Caenorhabditis elegans: one gene and its partners. The protein of the gene in region 1 purifies or fractionates together with the protein of each later gene. This does not show direct contact. Each region holds a gene or a part of one and is shown on either strand. Other genes may lie near its edges.

The links.
Region 2: the proteins of rde-10 (region 1) and F46H5.7 purify together in Caenorhabditis elegans (affinity purification with mass spectrometry, with the first as the bait; one large-scale study listed by BioGRID). This does not show direct contact.
Region 3: the proteins of rde-10 (region 1) and adk-1 purify together in Caenorhabditis elegans (affinity purification with mass spectrometry, with the first as the bait; one large-scale study listed by BioGRID). This does not show direct contact.
Region 4: the proteins of rde-10 (region 1) and cpf-1 purify together in Caenorhabditis elegans (affinity purification with mass spectrometry, with the first as the bait; one large-scale study listed by BioGRID). This does not show direct contact.

Annotation. Positions count from the first base shown.
Region 1 is NC_003279.8:3,545,294-3,552,666, forward strand, and holds rde-10 (RNA interference defective protein 10), read left to right. Parts: upstream 1-1,777; 5' UTR 1,778-1,834; coding exon 1,835-1,872; intron 1,873-1,918; coding exon 1,919-2,056; intron 2,057-2,115; coding exon 2,116-2,191; intron 2,192-2,245; coding exon 2,246-2,320; intron 2,321-3,088; coding exon 3,089-3,572; intron 3,573-4,306; coding exon 4,307-4,730; intron 4,731-4,775; coding exon 4,776-4,886; intron 4,887-5,855; coding exon 5,856-6,055; intron 6,056-6,127; coding exon 6,128-6,308; intron 6,309-6,351; coding exon 6,352-6,486; intron 6,487-6,534; coding exon 6,535-6,556; 3' UTR 6,557-6,710; downstream 6,711-7,373. Other genes in the region: Poly(U)-binding-splicing factor rnp-6, read right to left, coding at 482-684, 1,071-1,229, 1,284-1,448, 1,506-1,601; Y47G6A.21 (DeHydrogenases, Short chain), read right to left, coding at 6,711-6,869. UniProt on the Caenorhabditis elegans protein: In complex with rde-11, required in the endogenous and exogenous siRNA pathway for biogenesis and accumulation of secondary small interfering RNA (siRNA) intermediates, such as 22G-siRNAs derived from ergo-1 targets.
Region 2 is NC_003284.9:7,238,146-7,244,990, reverse strand, and holds F46H5.7 (AMPK1_CBM domain-containing protein), read left to right. Parts: upstream 1-2,007; 5' UTR 2,008-2,199; coding exon 2,200-2,233; intron 2,234-2,303; coding exon 2,304-2,442; intron 2,443-2,928; coding exon 2,929-3,002; intron 3,003-3,094; coding exon 3,095-3,187; intron 3,188-3,753; coding exon 3,754-3,970; intron 3,971-4,028; coding exon 4,029-4,190; intron 4,191-4,242; coding exon 4,243-4,362; intron 4,363-4,411; coding exon 4,412-4,633; intron 4,634-4,682; coding exon 4,683-4,904; intron 4,905-5,148; coding exon 5,149-5,166; intron 5,167-5,405; coding exon 5,406-5,486; intron 5,487-5,527; coding exon of another isoform or gene 5,528-5,536; coding exon 5,537-5,696; intron 5,697-5,739; coding exon 5,740-5,828; intron 5,829-5,875; coding exon 5,876-5,981; 3' UTR 5,982-6,325; downstream 6,326-6,845. Other genes in the region: putative arginine kinase F46H5.3, read left to right, coding at 6,329-6,367.
Region 3 is NC_003282.8:11,208,711-11,212,584, reverse strand, and holds adk-1 (Adenosine kinase), read left to right. Parts: upstream 1-1,753; 5' UTR 1,754-1,780; coding exon 1,781-1,855; intron 1,856-1,928; coding exon 1,929-2,245; intron 2,246-2,306; coding exon 2,307-2,412; intron 2,413-2,472; coding exon 2,473-2,799; intron 2,800-2,851; coding exon 2,852-3,055; 3' UTR 3,056-3,276; downstream 3,277-3,874. Other genes in the region: R07H5.9 (Kinesin motor domain-containing protein), read right to left, coding at 3,443-3,632, 3,677-3,744, 3,806-3,874.
Region 4 is NC_003280.10:8,599,934-8,604,410, reverse strand, and holds cpf-1 (Cleavage stimulation factor 50 kDa subunit), read left to right. Parts: upstream 1-1,970; 5' UTR 1,971-2,000; coding exon 2,001-2,050; intron 2,051-2,114; coding exon 2,115-2,280; intron 2,281-2,359; coding exon 2,360-2,656; intron 2,657-2,707; coding exon 2,708-2,830; intron 2,831-3,030; coding exon 3,031-3,487; intron 3,488-3,683; coding exon 3,684-3,883; 3' UTR 3,884-3,962; downstream 3,963-4,477. Other genes in the region: suf-1 (Suppressor of forked domain-containing protein), read right to left, coding at 1-183, 230-262, 311-406, 458-550; rpl-26 (Large ribosomal subunit protein uL24), read right to left, coding at 864-986, 1,140-1,296, 1,470-1,618; F28C6.5 (Amelotin), read right to left, coding at 3,971-4,116, 4,164-4,453.

The DNA of each region.
Region 1 (7,373 bases):
TAGAACATTTTTTTGAATTTTTTAATCATGATATTCGGTTATTGTGGGACCATAGGCGTGTTTTAAAGCGTGGTCCACCTTTAAATTGTGTTTTTTTTTCAAATTTTGAAATACTTTTCCGAAACAAAAATTATAAATAACTATTAAATTGTCGATTTTTAGGCAAATTTTGAAATTTCCGCCACTTTCGGGTAATCGAATTTTATTCACGGATAAGTGTCTGAAAAATCTGAAAAACTGACAAACCAAGTAAACCGATGTTTTTAGCCCGAAAACGCCAAAATATCGAAAATAACTTTGCGCGGGAATTCAAATTTAATTCGGACGTTTCTTTGATTTTTGAAAATTGAAAAAATAATAAAAAATTTAGAAACTTTTTTAACCAGTTATATTCGGTCTCTACTTTTTTCTGTCATTTAAAGCACCAAATTTTTTAAATGACTTTAAATAAAATAATTAAACTAGTAATTTCTCATTTTACCTGAAATATTTCTTCGCATCCTTCTGAACCATATCAATAATCGGCTGAGCCTGTGGCATATTTTGTGGCAATCTCATCTCCTGGAACATCATCGAATTAACTTTAAGATTACGTCCACCGAGCATCTGACCATTCATCGATTCTTGAGCAAGAAGTGCGGCTTCTGGGACTTCGTATTCAACAAATGCGAACGTTTTGTGGTGCTGAAAATGAAATATTTATTAATTTAAGACTAAAAATATGCTCAATTCGTAATAAAACTTCCGTTTAAAACATCAAATATTTGAAAAAAAAGTGTCACAGCTTTTGGAAATTAATTTTTATTCGATTATCATTTTTTTTATTGCATATTTTTATTTAAGTTGTTCATTTAAGTAAATTTAAAGCCAATAGATGACAAAAAATGACCAAAAATTGGATAGAAATTGAGATAAACTATCAAAATCTGCAATAAAAGATGAAAATCGAATGAAAAATAATTTCCAGCTGCTCTGACACGGAAACTTCTGGTAAAATAAAGGACCTTAGATAAAATTAGCTTAATTCTTTCGGAATTTTAAAATAAAATAAGACTTTTTTAAAAACTCACCCCAGTAGCTGGATCCCAGCTCATATTAATAGATTTAATGGGTCCAAATGGGTCAAAAGCCCTGCGAAGCATATCTTCGCGGATTTCAAATGAGATTGAGCCAACATAGATTCTGGACATAATCGATAAAGCTTGTGAGTACATTTGCTGCCGTTGTTGCTGAAATTTTATTGATTATTACGATAATTTCTACTTTTTAAAAATAAAACTAACATTCTCCTGTTGCTGTTTCTGCTGACGAAGAAGAATCTGCTTAATTGAAATGTCCATCGCATACTTTTTCGCCATCTGAATATCATCCTTCCGCTTTGAACTCAATTTCGATAAACCAAGGCCAATTTTTTGAGCGTCTTTCTTACCTCCAGGTCCTACGAACACCTGAAAATAAAATTTGTTTTAAAGTTTCATTAATTTGAACGAATCTAAAGTATTTACCTCTCCATCTTGCGGAAGAACTGGCATTGGCACTGACACTGCCGGCCGAAATGCCGCCACCGGCCTGTTTTCGATGTCTGCCGAGTTTTCTTCCATTTTAAAATGTCTGAAAATATGAAAAATGATTTAAAAAACACAAAAAACACAAATTTCGAAAAATAATAAGAAAAAAGTGTTGAAAATCCGAAAAAAACACGTTCAATATTCGAAAAGAAATAGTGGGCGGAGTCGATAATTGCAACCCTGGCACGGCATTTTTGCAAGTGGTGCGCACATTTTCAAGGACTTTTGCGGACTTTTGCCAGCGTCTAAAATTGATTTTTATGAATATGTCAAATCACAGATCTAATTTTAGAGATTATCAGAGGTTTGCCTTAAATATTGTCCCAATTAATTTTAAAAAATCTCTTCAGAGAGGGCATTCGAGCCAATAATGCCGGCACCTCCGGAGATGCGGTGCGCCAGAACGGAAATCCGATTTCAGTTGCAAAACATGTCGACGGCAAGAAAAGTGTCTACATGCTATTCCTACGCCAGATAGGACAGAAAAAGTAGGAAAATTTCTGAATATATTTTGCGAAAATGTGATTTTTGATATTTTGATGTTTAGATTTCTGACCGAGCAAGGCCACCGATACAATCAGAATGATCAGGCAGACAAGGATATTATGACAAGATATTATCACGTAAAAAAAATAAAGAAAAATTATTATTTTCAAGCCTAATATGTCGGATTTCAGGGAATGTGCCCTGATTTGAAGCAAAAATTCGAGCGAGAAGTTGCCGAGCACAACGGAAATCGGGGGCTTGTAATTGTAGGTTTTTATTGAAAATTTTACTACACCCTGTGGGGAAATTGCTTTAAAACACGCCTATGGTCCCACAATGACCGAATATCATGATAAAAAAATTCAAAAAAATGTTCTAGATTTTATATGATTTTTTGAAAATTGGAAAAATCACAGTTTTCACCTAATTATTTTTGAATTTCCGCCAATTGGATTTGTTCGGTGGAGCGTGCTTGCATTATTTTCATTAATTAATTTTATTTATTCTCGTTATTTCACTGATTTTCTTCATTTTCTATGTTTTTTCTTCGGAAAATGAAAGAAATAAACAAGAAAAATTAAGAATGATCACTAAAAATTAACTGAAACTTCCTAAATCTGTCAAATATTCTAATTTCAGGCTCTTCGTCGTCAGAACTCAGAATATCACAGTTTTACGCATTTTCAGTTAATTTTTAACAAACATTTCGCATTTTCTTGTTTATTTCTTTCATTTTCCGAAGAAAAAACATAGAAAATGAAGAAAATCAGTCAAATAACGAAAATAAATAAAATTAATAAAAAAAAATAATGCAAGCACGCTCCACCGAAAAAATCCAATTGGCGGAAATTCAAAAATAATTAGGTGAAAACTGTGATTTTTCCAATTTTCAAAAAATCATATAAAATCTAGAAAATTTTTTTGAATTTTTTAATCATGATATTCGGTTATTGTGGGACCATAGGCGTGTTTTAAAGCAATTTCCCCACTGAGCGTAGTCCACCTTTAAAGAAAAACTATGTTTTTTTTTTCAGAAAACAAAGCACCAGAGAGCACAGAGAAACCGTGAGATGCGCCACCGAAATCCAGATGAGTTCCAACAGCTCCGACGTGCACATTTGGAGACACTGAGCCAAACTCCAAGTGTTATAGCGTTGCCAAGAGATATAAATCACGTTCTTCACATCACCGAAGATCTCGACGCGTTTTGTCTTGCAAATCGCAAAAAGGCGAAACGAATAATGACTTCATACATTGCTCAGCGTTCTGATGATCCTGGAAATCCGTTGCTTTGCGAGGACTACACAATGCAGATTGTTTCAGTATTTCCGGTTGCCTACGCCTTCAAACCATCAATCAATAAGCTTTCATCGTATCCTGCAGAGATATCCGTTACAACATTCAATCTTAAGAATGGAATCATTCAGAATGAATCGAGATTCGTCAAATTCGATGCAGCTTGGTTTTATCCAGATGCAGATGACATTGGGCACGAGGAATTGTCTAGAAAAGCAATGGGTAGCAAAAAATTCGAAAAGTTGCAGAAGATTGTTTTAAAAATTGAAGAATGGTGCCAAAAACTTTGCAAAAATTGCCGATAATAAGCAAAAGTTGCCGAAAATTAAATGAAAATTGGCAAAACTTCACAAAAATTGCCGAAATTTGGCTAAAATTACCAGAATTTTGCAATAGTTGACGAAAGTTACTGAAAGTTGTCAAAAATTGCCGAATATTTTCAAAAAGTTCGCAAAAATTTATAAAAGTTGCTGAAAATTGTTTTAAAAATTGGAGAATGGGACAATGGTGCTAAAACTTTGCAAAAATAGCGAAAGTATTAATGAAAATTGGCGAAACTTACCGAATTTTGTCAAAACCTTTGCAGAAGTTGGCTAGAGTTTCCAGAAATTTTGGAAAGTTGTTTGAAACTCCTCAAAAAATGCCAAAATTTTGCAATAGTTGTCGAAAATTGGCGAAACTTTACAAAAATTGCCAAAATTTATAAATTTTGCTGAAAATTGAAGAGAAATTGGGGAATGTTGCCAAAACTTTGTAAAATTTCCCGAAAGTTGTCATAAATTGCCGAAAGTTGGCGAAAGTTTCTACAATTTTCGAAAAGTTGTGGAAAGTTGTTTGAAACTTCTCAAAAATTGTCAAAATTTTGCAATAGTGTCGAAAGTTGTCGAAACTTATCGAATGTTGCCGAAAAATTGCCAAAAAAATGCTATAAATGGTCAGTAGCTTAAAATTTTCAGCCGACGAACTGGGAATTTCGCCCAATGGACCCGCCGATGGCTGTGAACCATATGAAGTTTTCGAGTGGCTTCAACACCTTTTAAAACAGCATCCGAAATCTCCGATTCTATGCGATCGAGCTCAATTCAATTTTGTATATTATGGAATCAAGACTCTGGCCACTTACACTGGAATCAATGCCATCACATTCTTCCAAGAAGTCATCATTCCTAGTATTCTGAGCATTCAGGATTTTACAAGTGTAATACTCGAAAAAGCGCCGACGGATGTCCCCCGTGTCTGGAGAGATGTTGATATTTGTAATCAATTTCAATATCATTTTCTCATTCCCAGAACTGAATTGAACCTATTCTGCAGTTTTCATGAGAATAAACCATCGCCTACGAAATACAATTGCGTCAAGGCTCATAATGCAAGACTATTGTAACATTTTTTGCAGTGATTTTCAAGATAAAACACATTTTACAGAGACAATTTTTTCACTGTAATAAAGGGGAACCGGCTTCAAGGATTCGTGATTTCGCCGCCAGTTCATGAGATTTGCATTCAAGACGGGAGTGACACAAGTTTGCCTCAAACGTACGGAAAAACGAAAATTTTCGATTTTTCGATTATCCGAAAATACAAAAATGTAAAAAATAAGTTCAGAAAATTAACCATAAAAAAGTTTAAATTGATCAGAAAAAAACATAAAAATTTATTCTAAAAAGAAGAAAATACCAAAAATTATAAGCTAATTTTTGACAAATCGAAAAAACTAAAAATTTTCGATATCTCGATTTCAAAAAAAATCGAAAATTTTCGATTTTTCGATTATCCGGAAAATCGGAGAAAAAATCTGAAAATTAACCATAAAAGATGATTTTTTTGAATCTAATTTCGTCTAAATTGGTGAGAAAAAAACATACAAAAAATGTATTCTAAAAATAAGAAAAAAAACCATAATGACCAAAAGTCGGTTTTTTCTAAAATTTTCGTTTTTTTATTTTTCCGATTTTTCGATATTTTTGAGGGAAAATCGAAAAATTGGAAATCGAAAACAGAAATTTTTGATTTTTCGTTTTTTTTTTCAAAAATAGAAAAATCAAAATTTTTTTGATTTTCGATTTTTAAAAAAAAAATCATGAGAAAAAACATAAAAATTTATTCTAAAAAGAAGAAATGTTTTCGAAAAAGAAAATTTTCGATTTTAAATTTTTTCCGAAAAACCTTTTTTTTTTAAATCCAGAAAAATTAACCATAAATTATGATTTTTTAAAAATTTAATTTGGTCTAAATTGATGAGAAAAAACATAAAATTTTATTCTAAAAAGAAGAAAAAATACCAAAATGACCAGAAGTCGATTTTTCAAAAATCGAAAAAATTTATGTTTTTCCATTTTTCGATGTTTTTGAGGGAAAATCAAAAAATCGAACTACGAAATTTTTTCGATTTTTCGTTTTTTTTTTCAAAAATAGTAAAATTAAAATTCACAGAAAAAACAAAACATTCTCTGCAGTTCCCAGAAATTTCGAAAATTAAATGAGCGTCTATAGATATTTTTCCAGAATCTTGGCAAGAACAATATCCCGTAATGACGCCGAAGTCTACGCCGCCAGGCAGAGAGATACCGATGAACAATATGACGTCCATCAAGAAGGTCCATCTAATCATGATCAATACGAATTCGCATCTGAACCACTGGATTTCGAAGAAGATTCTGATGAGGAAAACTACAATGAACAGCTTGATGTTCCTTATTCTTACAGTAAGAATTTTTCTCGAAAATTCTGAATTTTGAAAGTTTGAAAATTAATTTTTTTTTTATTTTTAATTTCAGACGATCACTTCATCAGCTCATCATCTGTTCGTGAGCCAGAGCATCCCAGTGCAAGATCAAGAGATGTTGCTCCAAATGTTCAACAAGAATCTGTTGTGGTTCCGGCTCCAAGGCGATTGTCGCCACAGCGAGCTCCACGCCCGTCACAAAATAGTCCGAATGCTTATTCTGAACGCAAAAGGTTCGTCGTAAATTAAAGAAAATAAATTTTTTTTAATTTTCAGTTTTTCCGCGTTTCCATCCGAAGATCCATCTGAAGATTATGAAACCCCAATAATCAGTCATATCATGAATCGAAACGAAGCGGATCAATATTTCAATATTCTGGATTCGGTGAAACCGGGACAGAAATATAAGATGTAAGTGTATATAATAAAAAATTTTTAATAGTTTTTATATTATTTCAGAATCAAGTTCGACGACTTCTAAACGGAAACCCCTCACACATTCATTTCATGGTATTAAATATAAGCATTCTAAAATCCTAATTGTACTAATAGTATTATACATGATATACTCTGTCTGTCTGCTTGGTACAAATTTACTTCATTCTCAATTTTCAAAACAATAAATCATATATTCTTTATCTCGGATGCATAATTCCTCGACCACCATCAACCTTCAACAGTTGTCCAGTAGTGAATGAGCTCTTCTCAGAGGACAGGAATAGGATAGCTTCAGCTACTTCGGATGTAGTTCCAGGACGGCCGAGTGCGTGGGTCGTCTTGCTTTTCTCGAGGAACTGGAATTTCGTTGAAAGTATTATTACGCCAACACAAACTGCTGAGACTGCGTACTGCGCAACATATTTGACGCGCAAAATATCTCATAGCGCAAAACTATAGTCATTATTTAAATTACTACTGTAGTGTCGATTTACGGGCTCGGTTTTCGACACAAGAGCTACTCGGTAGTTGGCTCCTCCTGGGGCGCGAAGGGGGTGCGACTGGCGCGCGAAAAGAGGTGAAATGCGCCTGGCGCGAGGATAGGGCGTGACTGGAGTGCGGAACAGGCGCGCTCGGATTGTGAAAAGAGTATTCTGAAACTGCCAAAGTGTCTACATAAGATGTATTAATCAATTTCTTGCGAACATATTATTGCTTTGAGACATATTTTCAAACAAAAGTGAATTTTGTTCGTTCTATACTTTAATTGTAAACGTTTTGCAGACATGCTAGTTACTGAAAAACCAAAACTTCAATTTAAATTCTGATATGAGGTTAGAAGAGAACAATATGGTTCATCT
Region 2 (6,845 bases), on another chromosome or scaffold:
ACGTTCTTGCTTGGTTCTCTATTTGCCCTTTTTCTTTTTCCTCCTTTCGAAACCAAATCAACTGATAACTCTTTGATACACATGAAACGTCGCTGCAAACGTAATCAAATAATCCGACATGTTCGCTGATACCCCGAACACCTCAAAATTGTGTTTGTACTTCTCGAACATTCTCTAACAAACACCCCCATAATTTTTTTTCGAAAAGAAAAATGGGAGGAACGAAAAGTTGAACATGTGGTTATGAATCATTCAGTTGCACTCCTAAGTTGCAGCTTCAAGAGCAACTAAGTCTTATTCCTTAGCTTTCAGTGTTTGAAGCAAAACGTAGTATTTCTGTTTTTTGAAGTAAACTAAAGCTGTATTGATTTATTGCTCCAAAAAATGGCTTTAGTTCAATTTTAATAAGAACTATCTTGACTAACTTATTTATCCATTCTTTGCACTGCTCTGTTGCAAACTTCACATTAATAACAGACTCATTAATTCTGATACGTGTTTTTGGTGAGAACGTGAAAAACGCGGGAACACATGACGGGACCTTGCAAGTTGCGGTATCACTAGCTCTTTTCTCTTCCTCAAAGATTTCTCTTTTTTGCTCTCTTTCCGCAAAAATTGTTTTCTTATCAGTCGCTGATTCTTCTTTCGTTTTACTTTACACCCGAAAAAACGCAAAAGAAGCAACGAAAAGAACGCGATTTTTCGAGTTTTTAGCTCAACGTTTTTTGAAATCCGAACCTCCCAAATGTTGTATTCAAAGTCTTTTTTTTCTTTCGTACTTTTCTTTGCATTAGTTGTTGCCAGATCTTCTATTTTTATCTTAAGAGTCAAAAATCTTTGATTGATACGAGTAGGGCAGAAAAGACACGAAGAGTGGAAAATGTTCACTAGTTGCCTCATCCATTATCAGAGTCGGTCCAGTCTTTGTTTACTGCTGCGATCCCTTCTAACACCTGATTGTTCCCTCTACCAGTGACCTTTTTTTGACAATTCTTTTGTCTGTGTGATTGAATCGCATTGCACTTCCAAATTAGAACACACAAAACGCCAAGGGGGAGACGAATCATTTGTTGCAAAACCAACTTGTGTCCATTTCTGCATCTTGATCGGAAACCACAATCGTTCGAAGAATTTTGCTTTCAGTTGATTGTTTTTTTGCGTTGCTTCTTCCAAACGCCCACTTTTATATCTATCAATCAAATCGTTCAATCTAAAGTTTTATTATCATCAGTAGTCGGATTTTTTCCCGCTTTGTTTTCGGCAATCTTTGGCGGTTGTCTTGGAAATGCCTGCGCACAAAAAAATTTACTTGTGATGAAGATTGGGTGAGGAAACTTTATTTAGAATATATGAAGTGTTTTGATAGATTGAGGAATATCTGTGTTGAGGAGTTATTTCATTAAAACAAAATTGATGATTCAAATGGTTATCATAGAAACATTCAAATTGAAACATCATTCATTTTTTAAATTTCTCACAGTAAAATTCACCATTAATACGGTTTCCGACTGCCTAACATTCTGCAACAATTCCCTGAAAACAGAACGAATTGTCGATTTTTAATAACTGATTTTTGTTTATTTTTATTTAATTTTTATAACCCCTCCGCAAACTGTCAAAATTTATCACCAAAGAATAAAGTCGATTTTCAAAATTATATAGGGCTATTCCGTCATATTCAAAATGACCTTCTTATTTTTCTTCTCAGTGTTTTTTCCTCATTTTCCCTCCTGGGCGCTCGACCTCTGACACTCACAACGATCGCGCGCGCGCCCCGTCGCCTTCACTCCTTTTCTTCCTCGTCGCCTCACAGTTCCGTCTCACTCCAAAGGGTGCCTCCTGCAACAAGCACGAAATTTTAGCATTCATTCGCGGTGTTGGCGCTCGGCGGCCTGATCGCTCAACATGGCGGGCTTGGACACGTAGATGTATGTGAGAATCAATTTTATTTCCGTTTTTCTCTCTTTCTATCAATATCGTATTTGGCCCGCCGCCCCCCTTCACCTCGTTTCTCTTCTTGATCGACTTCTCTCGTTCCTCGTCTCCTGTTATTTCAATTTCAACATTATTTCTACACCCACACTCTCCATACCGAGTGTCTTCTCTCTTTTTGTTATCATTGCCATCAAGCCAAACGAACTCTTCAATCTGATATTTGAACAACTGATCTGATCGCTATTTCTGCTCTTTTCAGGGGGAATGGCGGATGTTGCTACCAAAATCCCAGATGCAAGTAGGTTCACCACTGATGTTGATATTACACGTTGTAGGGAATACCACTTTCAACAAATTTTTTGTTTCAGACTGGGTGCGTCTCGAAATTGAGCCAGTTCAAGTGAGCCATGATCAGGACGCCACTCTAAACTTTGCCACCGTCCAATCAGTGGTCCCAGGAGCACATGGACTCTACTACAGAGATGATGGAGAGAGAAAAGCTCTCCTGTAAGTGATGTAGTCCTTGCAAAGTGTCACTTCCGATACCCGTCATTTTAAACGGTTCACTGGGTTACCAATTAGGAGAAACCGCCACCTGCCGTAGTCAATTTAGTCATTATATTCTCGACCGTTTGTTCTCAGATCAACACAAAAGAATTGCGCGCGCCATCGTTCCATCAAAATGAAAAATGACTGTGTATATATGTCTTATCAAAGTTTACAATTCTTTTTAACCCTAACCCTAACACCAGGTGAAACGTGAATTGTCTAATTCAAAGTGATAGGTCAACGTAAACAATTTTCCCAAAAATCAGTTGATAATCCGAAACCGGTTTAGAACATGCATGTACATGTTTACAAATAGACAATCCGCGCAGAAATATGATTATATTAGAACAACATTTGCTGCTTTCCCATTGTCGATTAGCATTATCCAAATCCAAAGTTCCAGTCAGTCAGTCAACAAAACGTTTAACATTTTTCTATTTCAAGGTTCGACAACAACACCGGCAAGGTGTACCCACCTCCAAACGGATGGGATTCAGTGCCGATTTTTATCCATTTAGGTGAGAGACGACTTGTCGATACGAGAGAAAACATTAATTGGAAAACAAGAACCATAAATTTGCGACGGTGTCTAAGTTTTTCTTTCTTGCAGCACACGGATCACGCCACGGAACCCATTTTGCCGACTATTCGAAGGCCAATGACGCCTTTGAAAAGAACATTTCAGCTGTGCAGAAGCTTTTCGGTAATTGGTTCTATTTGGTTTACGTGGAATTTGGGGTTAAAAAGACCTATATTCGCAAAATCGTTTAGGAATGAGTATCATGCATGGGGCAAATCCAAACATGAAGCCCATTTCAAAAAAAAAAACGAATTTTCCGTTAACAGTGAAAATTTTCTTTATTGCCCCAATAGTTGCCACTATTTTCCAGAGCTGGCAATTTAAAATGGATTACTGTATAAAATTTGTTTAATGTTCTACCAATTCAAAATATTGGTTTTAATATTCTTGAAATTTTGACATATTTGACTGAGTAACATAAAAATCTGATCATCAAGCCAAAGTAGTATTTCGTGTTTTTTTAAGTGCATAGCTTTGTAACAGTTTTGAAGTACCAGCTAATTTTTTTCCTGCTCAATCAAAACACGATCGCAGCTGTGTAAACTGTGAAATCTCCAAATGCTTCAAAAGCGATCTGACATTTTTTGTCCAATTCAAACTTGTAAACATGTTGTCGGTCTCCGAGTGGTACATTTGTGACAAATTTGACCGGCGAAATTGAAACAAACAGAGAATTTGCATTATTTTAGCTGCCGCGGGACTTGGTGGAAGGTCACAAAAGGTGTATGCAGCTGGAAAGACCCGTGCTCGTAGTACTTCAAAGAAAAATCAGCCAAGAAGCCAGTTTGATGCTCAGCCTGAAAATGTGAATATCAGCGAGGAGAGCGAGGGAAGAGACTCCGAAAAGGAAAAGAACGACCGACAGCTGGAAAAGCTGAGAAACCGAAATGATGAGCTGAAAATTAGGTAATAACCCTAATTTCTCAATATGTTTAAATTTTTTTTTAATTTTTCAACTTAACAGAGTGAAAGAATACAAATCCGACTTGTCAGCCGCTCAACTTAAAGTCAAAAATCTTGAGAAAAAGTTGGAATCCGCCCAATCGGCTGATTCTGAAGAGAAATTCGTTCGAATTGATTCGGAAATCGACGAGAAACGATCCCAGGATCACGATGAAGAAATCAAGTATGATAATCAAAATGCACATTTCACGTTATTATTTAATTAGTTCTTTCAGCAACTTGCACAATGTCATTGAAGAGCTTCGAAACAAGTTGGCCACTGTTGAATCGAAAAATAAGGATCTTGAGACCAAATTCTCCGAGAATCAAGATTATTTGAAGAACGCAAAAGACAAGTAAAACATTTAAAAGTTCAAGAGTTAATCGGAAAAAAAATTATTTTAGGGTAACATTCTTAGAGAATCAACTCAACTCCGACGCTCATGAAGAAGTGAAGAGTACCGCCGTCAGAGCACTAGAGGTTAAACTCGGCTTGGCCAACAATTCAATTCGTCAAGCTGAGGCTGAGAAGCAACAGCTCCAGGAGGCTAACTGGTACGCGAACGAACGTGTCGGCAAGTTGGAACAGGAGAACGGATATTTGAAGGGAATCACTGAACAATTGAAGTAAGGCATTGAAATGACAAGCAATTTTTAATTTAGGGTTTTCTTTCAGGGCCAGAGCAGACACCTCACACGCTGAAAAAATGCTGAAGGACAGCGAGAAGCGTGTCTGGGAGATCAACGAAGAGAAGAGCAAGCTGGAGTGGCGTCTCGGTGAGCTCTCCCAATGGTGGAACGATGCAAAGTGGAAGGTCGGCGAGTTGGAATCCTCTGTTGCCCTACAGAGAAATTTGCTTGACACGGCAAACTCGAAGATTCAAAGCCTTAATGATCAGTGAGTTTTCTTTGGAGTTGGGGTCAGAGCAATACGAGATTGAATGTTTCATGAATTTAAAATATCAAAAACGGCGCTTGTAAATCATTTCATTACATAAAAATAAAAACGAAAAATTGCATGAACATCTTTGATCACTTTCTAGAATTACCCAAAAAAGGACTTTATAAAAATCAAAAACTGAATAAATTTTCAAAATAACAGATAGGAAACTTTAAAGAATTTTTTCATATTTCATTTTTAGGTTAATACAGGAAGTGAGGTAAGGAATACAGATTTTATTGAACTACTTGTAACTTAACGTCTGGAAAGCAATGCACTTTATATTTTTTTTTCTGAAATTTGCGGAGTAGTTGAATTGAAAACAATACTAACTATGTTTTGTTTTTCTTATTTAATTTTTAAAAATTGAAACGAGTGTACAGTGTATTTGACGGTGTGAATATAGTGTTCCTCATCCAAAGCAATATTTCATTCGAAATCGAAATTCCAATAATTTAGGAGTCACTCCAGCACCATGACCATTCCCACCGACGGATTCACCATTAGCCAAAGCAACCAAGGAACTTGGAACCTTGCCAAGTAAGTTATACCAGTGGTTCTCTTGATATCACTATTCCAAGTATTTGCAGCGGAAGTAACCAGCCATGTTTCACCGGAGCCATCCCATCCATCCCACTTGTCTCAGCCCTGCCATTCGCCGGAGCCAATCCATTCATTTTTGGGGGAGCTAACGAAGGAAGAAATGTAACGTTGACCATTTCGAACACAGAGCAGGAAGTTTACTTGACGGTAAGTTTTTTTTTGCCAAATAGGTCTTCATTTGATTTTTCAGGGAAGTTTTATCAACTGGAAATGCACATTGAAATGCGAGAAACTGGTTAGCGGCAAGAAAGGAGTCACGGTCAATTTGACGCGTGGAAGGTAACAACATTCAAATTCAAAACACAAATTTCAAGTAATAATTTTAGACACGAGTTCCGATTCATGATCAATGGCGAATGGGCGACGTCGAGCGACTATCAACAGGTGCCAAACGGTTTGGGCGGACAGAATAACATTATTTTTGTCGAATAATAATTATTCCCTTGATCACTTAAATTGAATTATTTTTTCTTACCTGTCAACTTTGTTTCCATTTACTTCTCCTCATTTTTTGTATCTTTATTTCTTGTTTGTATTACATACCACTCCATTCAAACTTATGCAGTTAACCACTCTATTCACTAGATTGTGTTTAGAAAATTGTGAAGATTCTGAATTTTTTCGGGACTTTTGGCATTGCCATGATGTGAATGAATATTTTCGGTTAATATTAATTCAGATTTCAAATAACTTTTGTTCAATATGTAAAGTTTTTTTACTTAATTTTTAATAATTGGTTGTTTTTTCTCAATTTTCCGAATTAAATTTTTCAATAGAAGATGTTACATCGATGCTCGAGAGTATTGTCACAATTTTTGGTAGGTACTTTGCAGTGGTTTTGTTTCACGTTGACAACTACCCTCAATACATAATATGGCGTTTTATGAAAAAATTATAAAGAAGTTAACATATACTTTCGGGCACAATTTTTGCAGTACTCTAACTATGTACTTGATTGAAATCTCAGCAATCAAGTAAGGAGCAAATAATTCAATTAATAAGTTCCATCCTCTTTTATTTAAAATAGTGTTTTTGCGCATTAATTGATTAACTTTAGAAAAAAATCAACAAACAAACAAATTTGGAAAATGTAAAAGTTTGTTGAAGATCTAATTTTTTCCAAGATAAATTAATTAATTTACAGAAAAGTTTTTTGTCCTATATCTTTTATTTAAATGTTTTTTTTTTCAAAAAGTTAAAATCAAAATATTCAAAAATATTATGAAAATGTGCTATTCAAACTGACGTCCTACACGTTTTCAAAAATTTCAAACTTTAAAACACATTTCCATATTC
Region 3 (3,874 bases), on another chromosome or scaffold:
TTGGCCAATTTTGGCAATTTACTAATGTGCGGCCATGTTAGACTACTTGGAGTTTATTGAGACTAAATCTCCAGTGGCAATATTAAATCTGTAACACGTTTTTTCATTTAATTGAAATATGCAAGTTCTTCAAAACGTAGGTTTTAAAAGTATTTATTTACAATAAGTAAAAAGATTTAAATGTTTAATTTTCATAGAAAATAATGCTCTATAACGGCTATCTATTATATATATAGTGAATAGTGCAGTGAAGGAGAATATGAAAATTCACCTATTAGCTGAGTATCAACTCACAACGTGGGTACGAAAAAAACTTTGTAGTTTTTACTTTTCGGAGTATATAGGTAATTGTTTAACTACTGCCAATAAATATGAGTACAACTTCTATATTACTCCACATAGAAACCCCAATAGATCATTAATTGATCGACTATCAACTTTCAATCAGGCCATTTTCGAAAATTTTTCTCATTTTGAGAACTTATGTGCAGGAGACACCTTCTGTTCATAGAACACAATGGAAATCAATCGGTTTTTTCATAACAGTTGCCGTTGTAGTTTCTTCTCTTTTTTCTATCTTTTTTGCAACTTCCACATGAAAATTGCATTACGCACTGTGTCTGTTTATTCAGGCTTAGTTTCAATTTTAAACTGTTTGCAATAGACTTTAATGTAATTGCTAGGTTTAAAAGCCATTGACAACTAAAATTGTTTTCTAAATTGAACATAACTTGTAAATTGTCTCGTTCAAACCACCACCGCAAGTTAGCCAACTTTTCTTGTTCTGAGGCTAGATGGCATATCGGTAGATACTATCAGTGTCACAATTTGCCGGTCAAAAAACCGATAACGAAATAGCGGAGATCTTTTAGAAACTGCAGACAGACTGGGGAGTAATGGACGATAAAATAGAAGATAGGCTAGTTGGAAGGCGCATTTCTCATCAGAATCGTGTACTTTGTGTGTAACTCATTCTCATTTTTGTCCAAGTTCTAATAAGTTATCTTATTACATTTGAATTTCCACGCCTGATCGTTCACTTTTCTGGAAACTCATCGCTCCCACTTTCGAAAATCGTATTTTTACTATGAATTTTTCAAGTTCTACGATTTTAAAGGGAGGAGCATTTATGCGGATTGGTCTCGCCACGCGCCAGCCATTGATTGAGAAAAATATATCAATAGACGGCTCTTGGCGAGACCATTCCGCATAACTGCTTCCCACTTTAAAATCGTAGAATTGGAAAAGAAATACACAGTATTCATCAAACAATCAGCCATTATTAATATATTATTCAAAATATTATTCAAAATAGCATTCACTAATTTGTGTTTGAAGGAGGTACTTCCACATTTAGAAACTTGCAAATTTTATTCTTGGTTTTTTTAAACGTTCATGTTTTTTAAGATAGCAACGGTGTTTTAAAAACTTTCCGCTTCTGTCAGCAAAGATTTATGATCGATAAAATCTTAAAACACGTTGCAACGACACTCCGATATCCCATGCGATCGTTGTTTATCAAAAATGTCTTTCGGCCGGAATTTCAAATTACAACGTGGATTTCGTGGAAATGTATTGTCCTAAAACACAAAATATCTTGGCTTTACAGCGTTATTCGTGTTCAAAAAAGCACGAAAACGGTTTTTTCGCACTCTTTCTTTGCCAATCTTCTTATTTGTTTTCTCTTATGTCTATTTACTCGTTCAAAACTCGCCTTTTTCTCACTTTTCATTTTCTAATTGTCTATCTGCAGGTAATCCCATCTCCTCACGTCACGGAAATGTCTCCTCTGCCAGAAAACACCCTCATCGGAATGTGCAATCCATTGTTGGACATTCAAACCACCGTTGAAAAGGTAAGTTTTTGATTTCTCTAGAAATCTAGAAGCACATTCAAAAATATTTCATTTTAATTGCTGAAATCTACAGGCATTCCTTGACAAATGGGGACTCAAAGAAAACGACGCCATTCTTTGCGACGACAAGCACAATGACATGTTCACCGAGCTTACCAGAGATTTCAAAGTCGAGTACATTCCAGGAGGAGCCGCACAGAATTCGCTCCGTGTTGCTCAATGGATTTTGAACGCACCAAACCGAACAGTTTTCTTTGGAGCTGTTGGTAAAGATCAGTACGGAGATCTTTTGGCATCGAAAGCCAAAGAAGCTGGAGTGAATGTGCATTATCAGATCAACGAGACAGTTAAGACCGGTACCTGCGCAGCCCTCATCAACGGAACTCATAGGTAAGCGGATCATTGTTTGACGGACAGAAAAATCATCGTTGCCGTGTTGAAATGATTTCAGATCACTCTGTGCTCATTTGGCTGCTGCTAACACCTTCACTCAAGATCATCTCCAGAAGGAGGAGAATCAGAAGATCATCGAGCAGGCCAAATATTTCTATGTCACTGTAAGTTATCGAATTGATTTACAAATAAGCACAAAAGTATTCTCAATGTAAAATTTTCAGGGATTCTTCATCACTGTCTGCCCACCAGCTATTCTCCAACTCGCAAGCCACTCTGCCGAATTCAACAAGACTTTCACCCTTAACCTCTCCGCCCCGTTCATCTCCCAATTTTTCTTCGATAAGCTCTCGGAAATCATTCCATTGGTCGATGTTCTTTTCGGAAACGAAGACGAAGCTGCTGCCTTTGCTAAAGCCAATGGATGGGAGACCACCTGTGTCAAGGAGATCGCTTTGAAGGCTGCTGCACTTCCAAAGAAATCTACTAAGCCAAGACTCGTTGTTTTCACTCAAGGACCAGAGCCAGTCATCGTCGTGGAAGGAGATAAGGTGAGAGTTTTTGATAATTTTTGAATTTATTGTTTTCAATTTTAATCTACAGGTCACCGAATTCCCAGTAACTCGTCTTCCAAAGGAAGAAATCGTCGATACCAACGGTGCCGGAGACGCTTTTGTCGGAGGTTTCCTTTCTCAATTCATCCAAGGAAAGGGAGTCGAAGCTTCAGTCACCTGTGGATCTTATGCTGCTCAAGAAATCATCAAGAAGCACGGATGCACAGTGCCATCTGTTTGCAAGTACCATTAAACTGATAAAATAATCTGTGATCCCAACTTTCTCTGCTTTCAATTTCCCAGTCCCCTGGTTTATAGTATATCAAATTGTTCTTTGTTTTGCTCCCCATTCCCCGTCCTCGAGCATCCCTATTATTCGAAATTTTTCTTTTGGTGTTGTTTTTTTTGTCAAATGTTCCCAAAATGTGCCTTATAATTCATTTATCAGGTGTTTTAATAAAATGGCAAAGTTTTATTCTTCATCCATGTCGATTTGAATTGGAATCTTCTTCCCCTTTTCGACAAAGCCAATCAGATCCAGAACCAGAACGACACTGCCACGGCTGAAATAAAGTTTGTTGCATATTTATCAGGACTAGAGGAATATGATTACTTACAGTTTTGGTAAATTGTAAAACTGTTAGTGATCAACGTCACTTTTCCGAACACGTCGAAGTTTCTGTACGCCGTTCTTATCAAGGAAAGCAAAAAGAACATTAGTTGATTTGATCAGTTGTTCCGCTGGTAGACCTTCGTAGTTCTCATGAAGGACATTGATTAGAATGCTCTTCACATGAGCAGACAATACACTGTCAATGAAAGCAATCGGTCTGGAACTTACTTATCAATTGCTCATTCTGAAAACGAATCAAACCTGAGTTTATCTCGGATGATTGGTCTCTCGATGACAACTACTTTGACATTTACACATCCGTTTTCATCCTGAAATTTAAATATGATTCTTTGTTCTATCTCAAATAGTAAAGAAATATTTCCAACTTACCAAAGATCCTACGTTCTTGAACTTTCTATGTGGAACCTTTGAAGAACGGCTACTTTTTCGAGATTTCTT
Region 4 (4,477 bases), on another chromosome or scaffold:
TATGTATTCTGTGAAGATTGAGTAAGCCTGGACATCCATTCCAACTTTTTCTAGTGCGAAATCGTAAGCTTTAGCCATTTCTTCACGATATTGATCCCTCTGTCCTTTCGTTTCGAATACGTAATGAATATAGCATTTCCACAGATCTATGTTGAGAACAGACACAAGACATCTACTGAATAACTGAAAAAGAAAACTATTAAATTTATCAAATACCGGGATAAATTACCTTCTCCACATTTTCGAAATTTTTGGAACGAAGCTGAAAACTTTAATCATTTTTATTTTTCTAATTTCTATTTTGTAATACCTCGTGCTCGATGTAAGCTTTCCAGTACCGTCCGGAGTTAGGAAATTGTTTTACAAGACTTTCGTAAAAATCTCGTTCTTGGTCAATCGGTCGTGACTGAAAAATGAACGGAATAGACGTCGATTCAATTTGTTGTCAAATGTCTACCTGATGTTCTCGGAGCAGTAAATTCCACGCGTCTACGTCGAATGGATTTGTTTCAATCCGACGCTCTGGGTTACGCATGCTCAACCCAGACATCTTCTGAAAATAAATAGCAATACTATCTTGTTCAAATCAAGGATAATTTCATAGAATGTGAAATTGTGCAAACACAGTGCATCAAATTTGACGCGCAATGCAGACCGAAAGTGGAAAATGAGGAAACTCGCCAAAACATCAGATACATTTTCTCAAATGGATAGAAGACCCTTTAAATAGCTTTTTCTGTACTATTACTCTTGTTTACTTATTACTGGAATTTCCAGATAGCATTAAAATATTTTCTTTGAAAATGAATCGAAGCCAAAACAAATGGAAAAGAATCAACAATTTATTTGTAATTAATAACAATTTAGTTGACGGTCTCGTCAGTGTGCTTTCCCTTGAGGATTCCAGTGACGCGGGAACGTCCGGCAGCCTTGCGCTCAACGAGGGCACGACGATCCTTATCGAGCTTCAGCTTGGTGATAGCGACCTGAACATAATTTGGGTTAAAGAACGAACTCGGTCACTTCAAAATATAATAAACTTTTCCTAGTCCGAATGCAACATTAAGAATCATGGAACTCACAAACCTGACAGTTGTGATGAGTCGATGTGCACCGGAACTAGTTTATACAAACCTCACCTTCGAAGGGTGGATTCCGATGTGCACAGTGGATCCGTTAGCCTTCTCGCGGGTGATCTTGTCGATGTGGATAACGAACTTCTTACGGTAGCATCTGAGGACACGTCCAGTGTTTCCCTTATGGCGTCCGCGCATAACGACGACCTCATCATCGGTTCTGAAATCAAAAATTGTTTTAAACTTATGGCTAACAAAGCGAAAATATGTTTCAGCGTCATTGCAAAAAGAGTAACATTCATTTCTCCATATTGTCCAAACCGTACGTGAAAATTTCAACGTACGGGACTACTTAATGGAAACAGTAAAGTTTTTCTATTTAAAAAAACCAACCTGATTGGAATAGCACGGATTCCGTGCTTGGTGCGGAGCTCCTTGGTGAGTGGGGCAGACATGATGCGTCTGCGCTCGTGGGATGGAGCGTTGAAGTGGGCCTTGCGGCTCTTTCCGGAATCGCTGGAGACGAACGGATTGACCTTCATTATTACCTGAAAAAATAAATATTATATTATGTAACAATAATAAAATTACGGTGGTAGAAAGTATAATTCAAATTCGAGAATAAAAAATATTCTCGAATTACAAGGAGAGCACACATGCAGGTTGAAAACTCATTAATGTTAGAGACAATTACATGCTTGAAAATAAAAAATACCGACAAAATTCCTAAAAAAATTTAGGCCAGTGAGAAAAACGTCGAGGAAAATTTAGTTTGAGGCAGCCGACTACGATTTGAGGGGAGATCGCTGCGAGACCCACCGCAGGGGAAACGGCATGCGCCTTTAATATAAGTTTAAATTTTGCAAGGAATTTATTGCGCTTTGAGGATTTTCGAATATTTATTCAAGGAAACATACTTTAATAATGAAGCCAGATATCAAAGATCGTGAATACATGTATCGGCTGATTATTGGGTAAGTTATCTCGCGCTAAACAAGCAAAACTAAAAAAGTTCATACTTTCAAAAACTTATTTCAGGCAGCTTTTCTACGATGGTCATCAACAAATTGCCGTCAACCTCGCAAATACTTTGGGATGTTCTGCTCCAGCTCCGCCGCCTTCAGATAAATTGTTCAGACTGGTCACAATTGCAAAGCAATTTGTAGAGGATCCAGATTACAAAGCCGAAGAAAAATCCTCGCCGGTAAGTTTCATTTTTTACGATTTGGTCACAAAAACGTCACAAAATGCCTGAAACTATCTAATAATTTTGTATTTTAAAGATGCAATTCGAACCCGTCTCTTCGGGCTTGGATCTCGAATACGACGCTGATGTGCAGCCAGTTTCTTCCGAGCCATCGGAGTATGAGACCATCTACTTGACGGTTCACAAAGCTCCTTGTAGAGCAGCAGCGTTCAATTCGGATGGTTCCTTAGTGGCAACAGGTTCAGCAGATTGCTCGATCAAAATTATGGATGTTGAGAGAATTCTTGCCCGCGAGAAAGAGCACAGAGAAATGAACGAAAATGGTCCAGATGCGCACCATCCGGTGATAAGAACTCTGTATGATCATGTTGATGTTAGTTTTTCGAAAAAAAAAACGTTCATAATATCTAAGTTGCATTTTTAGGACGTTAATACTGTGATCTTCCATCCAAGAGACTCAATTCTTATCTCCGGATCGAATGATAAGACTGTGAAGTTATTTGATTTCTCAAAAACTGCTGTTAAAAAGGCGATGAAAACGTTGTCGGTAAGTTCTCTGATTTGGAAGAAAACATTTCTTAGAAGTTTATAAAGCCACAATGTTGAGAATAAGTACATACAAAGTAAAAGATAAAGTTTATTTGGAAATTATTTAAAAGAATATACGAATTTCGAGAAATTCCTAAAAATTATTGATATCATAACAATATAAATAACTGAAGCATAAATATTAAAAATAAATTACAGGAAGTATACCCAGTGCGTGCACTCTCGTGTCACCCAGGTGGTGAATTTCTTCTTGTTGCAACGGATCATCCTACTGTTCGTCTCTACAACATTGAAACAGCTCAGGCATATGCTTCAGCGAATCCAGATGATCAACATACTGAATCTGTAACAGATGTTCATTATTCTGAAAATGCACGGCTCTATGTAACGGCTTCAAAGGATGGGCACGTAAAGATATGGGATGGTGTGTCAAACAGATGTGTAGAGACATTCAAAAGAGCTCACGATGGTTCATCAATCTGCTCAGCCAAATTTACAAAGAATGGAAAATACATATTAACAAGTGGAATGGATAGTATTGTGAAACTATGGGAACTGAGTACTAATCGGTGTTTGATTGTCTATACGGGAGCAGGAGCTACTGGAGCACAGGATTTTGCCACAAACGCTTCATTTAACCACAATGAAGATTACGGTTAGTTCTTAACTGTTTTCGTTAATAACGCGTCGAAGAGTGTTTCTAAAAAAATCTCGAGAATCGATTATATTTTTCTCTGGCTTTCAAAAAATATTATTGGAACAAATTGCAAATTCTGGAGATTTTTTTTTGCTTTTCGAGAGCGAAGTAAGAATATCATAATGTAATAAAAACTGTTTAATAAAAATTTCAGTGTTATTCCCAGACGAGAAGAGTGGAAGCATGTGCTCGTGGGATGCTCGCAATTCCGACAGAAAGCGACTTCTTGCTCTAGGACACACATCAGCGTGCCGAACTTTCGTTCATTCCCCATCCATGCCAGCATTCATGACAGGAAGTGACGATCATCGTGCTCGATTCTGGTATAGAAAACCGGCAACAAATGAACATTGATCTCCAAATAATCTCTGGTTTATTGAAAATTCGTTTATTTACATTTTTGTTAATATTATTGGAAATAAATTATTTAAATAAAAGTATTTAGAACCTCTCCATGAGAATTCGTCGGGACCGGAATGGGTTCTTCGGCCGGTCGTTCGCACCAATTGATATCTTGGCTGCTTCAAATGGCTGCATGGGTTTCTCTCTCGCTTCATCGATTATTACTGAGCGTTGTGGTTCATCTTCTGAAAATTATTCAACTTTAAGTATTTAGAAAAATAAAATTGAAAACCTTGAACCATATTCTTTCCCTGTGAGTCCTCTCCTTCTATCTCTGATGTACTCACTGCCGTTGGCCAATGTACAGTATCCAACTGCTCATTGGTTTCAACAACGTCAGCAAATGGATTCTCAGGTTTCTTTGTCTCCAAAGCCTTTTTCTTTGCCGCTTCTTCTGCAGCCAGTTCACTCGGAAGAATGAGCTCTGGCGGGAATAGTGGTTCTCCGTGAAGAGCTTCTTCATCTAATGGAACGGCTACGACGTCTTGTGGCTCTGGGACATGAAGAGGTAGAGGACGAGCTCTGAAATTTCACGAATAGGATTTT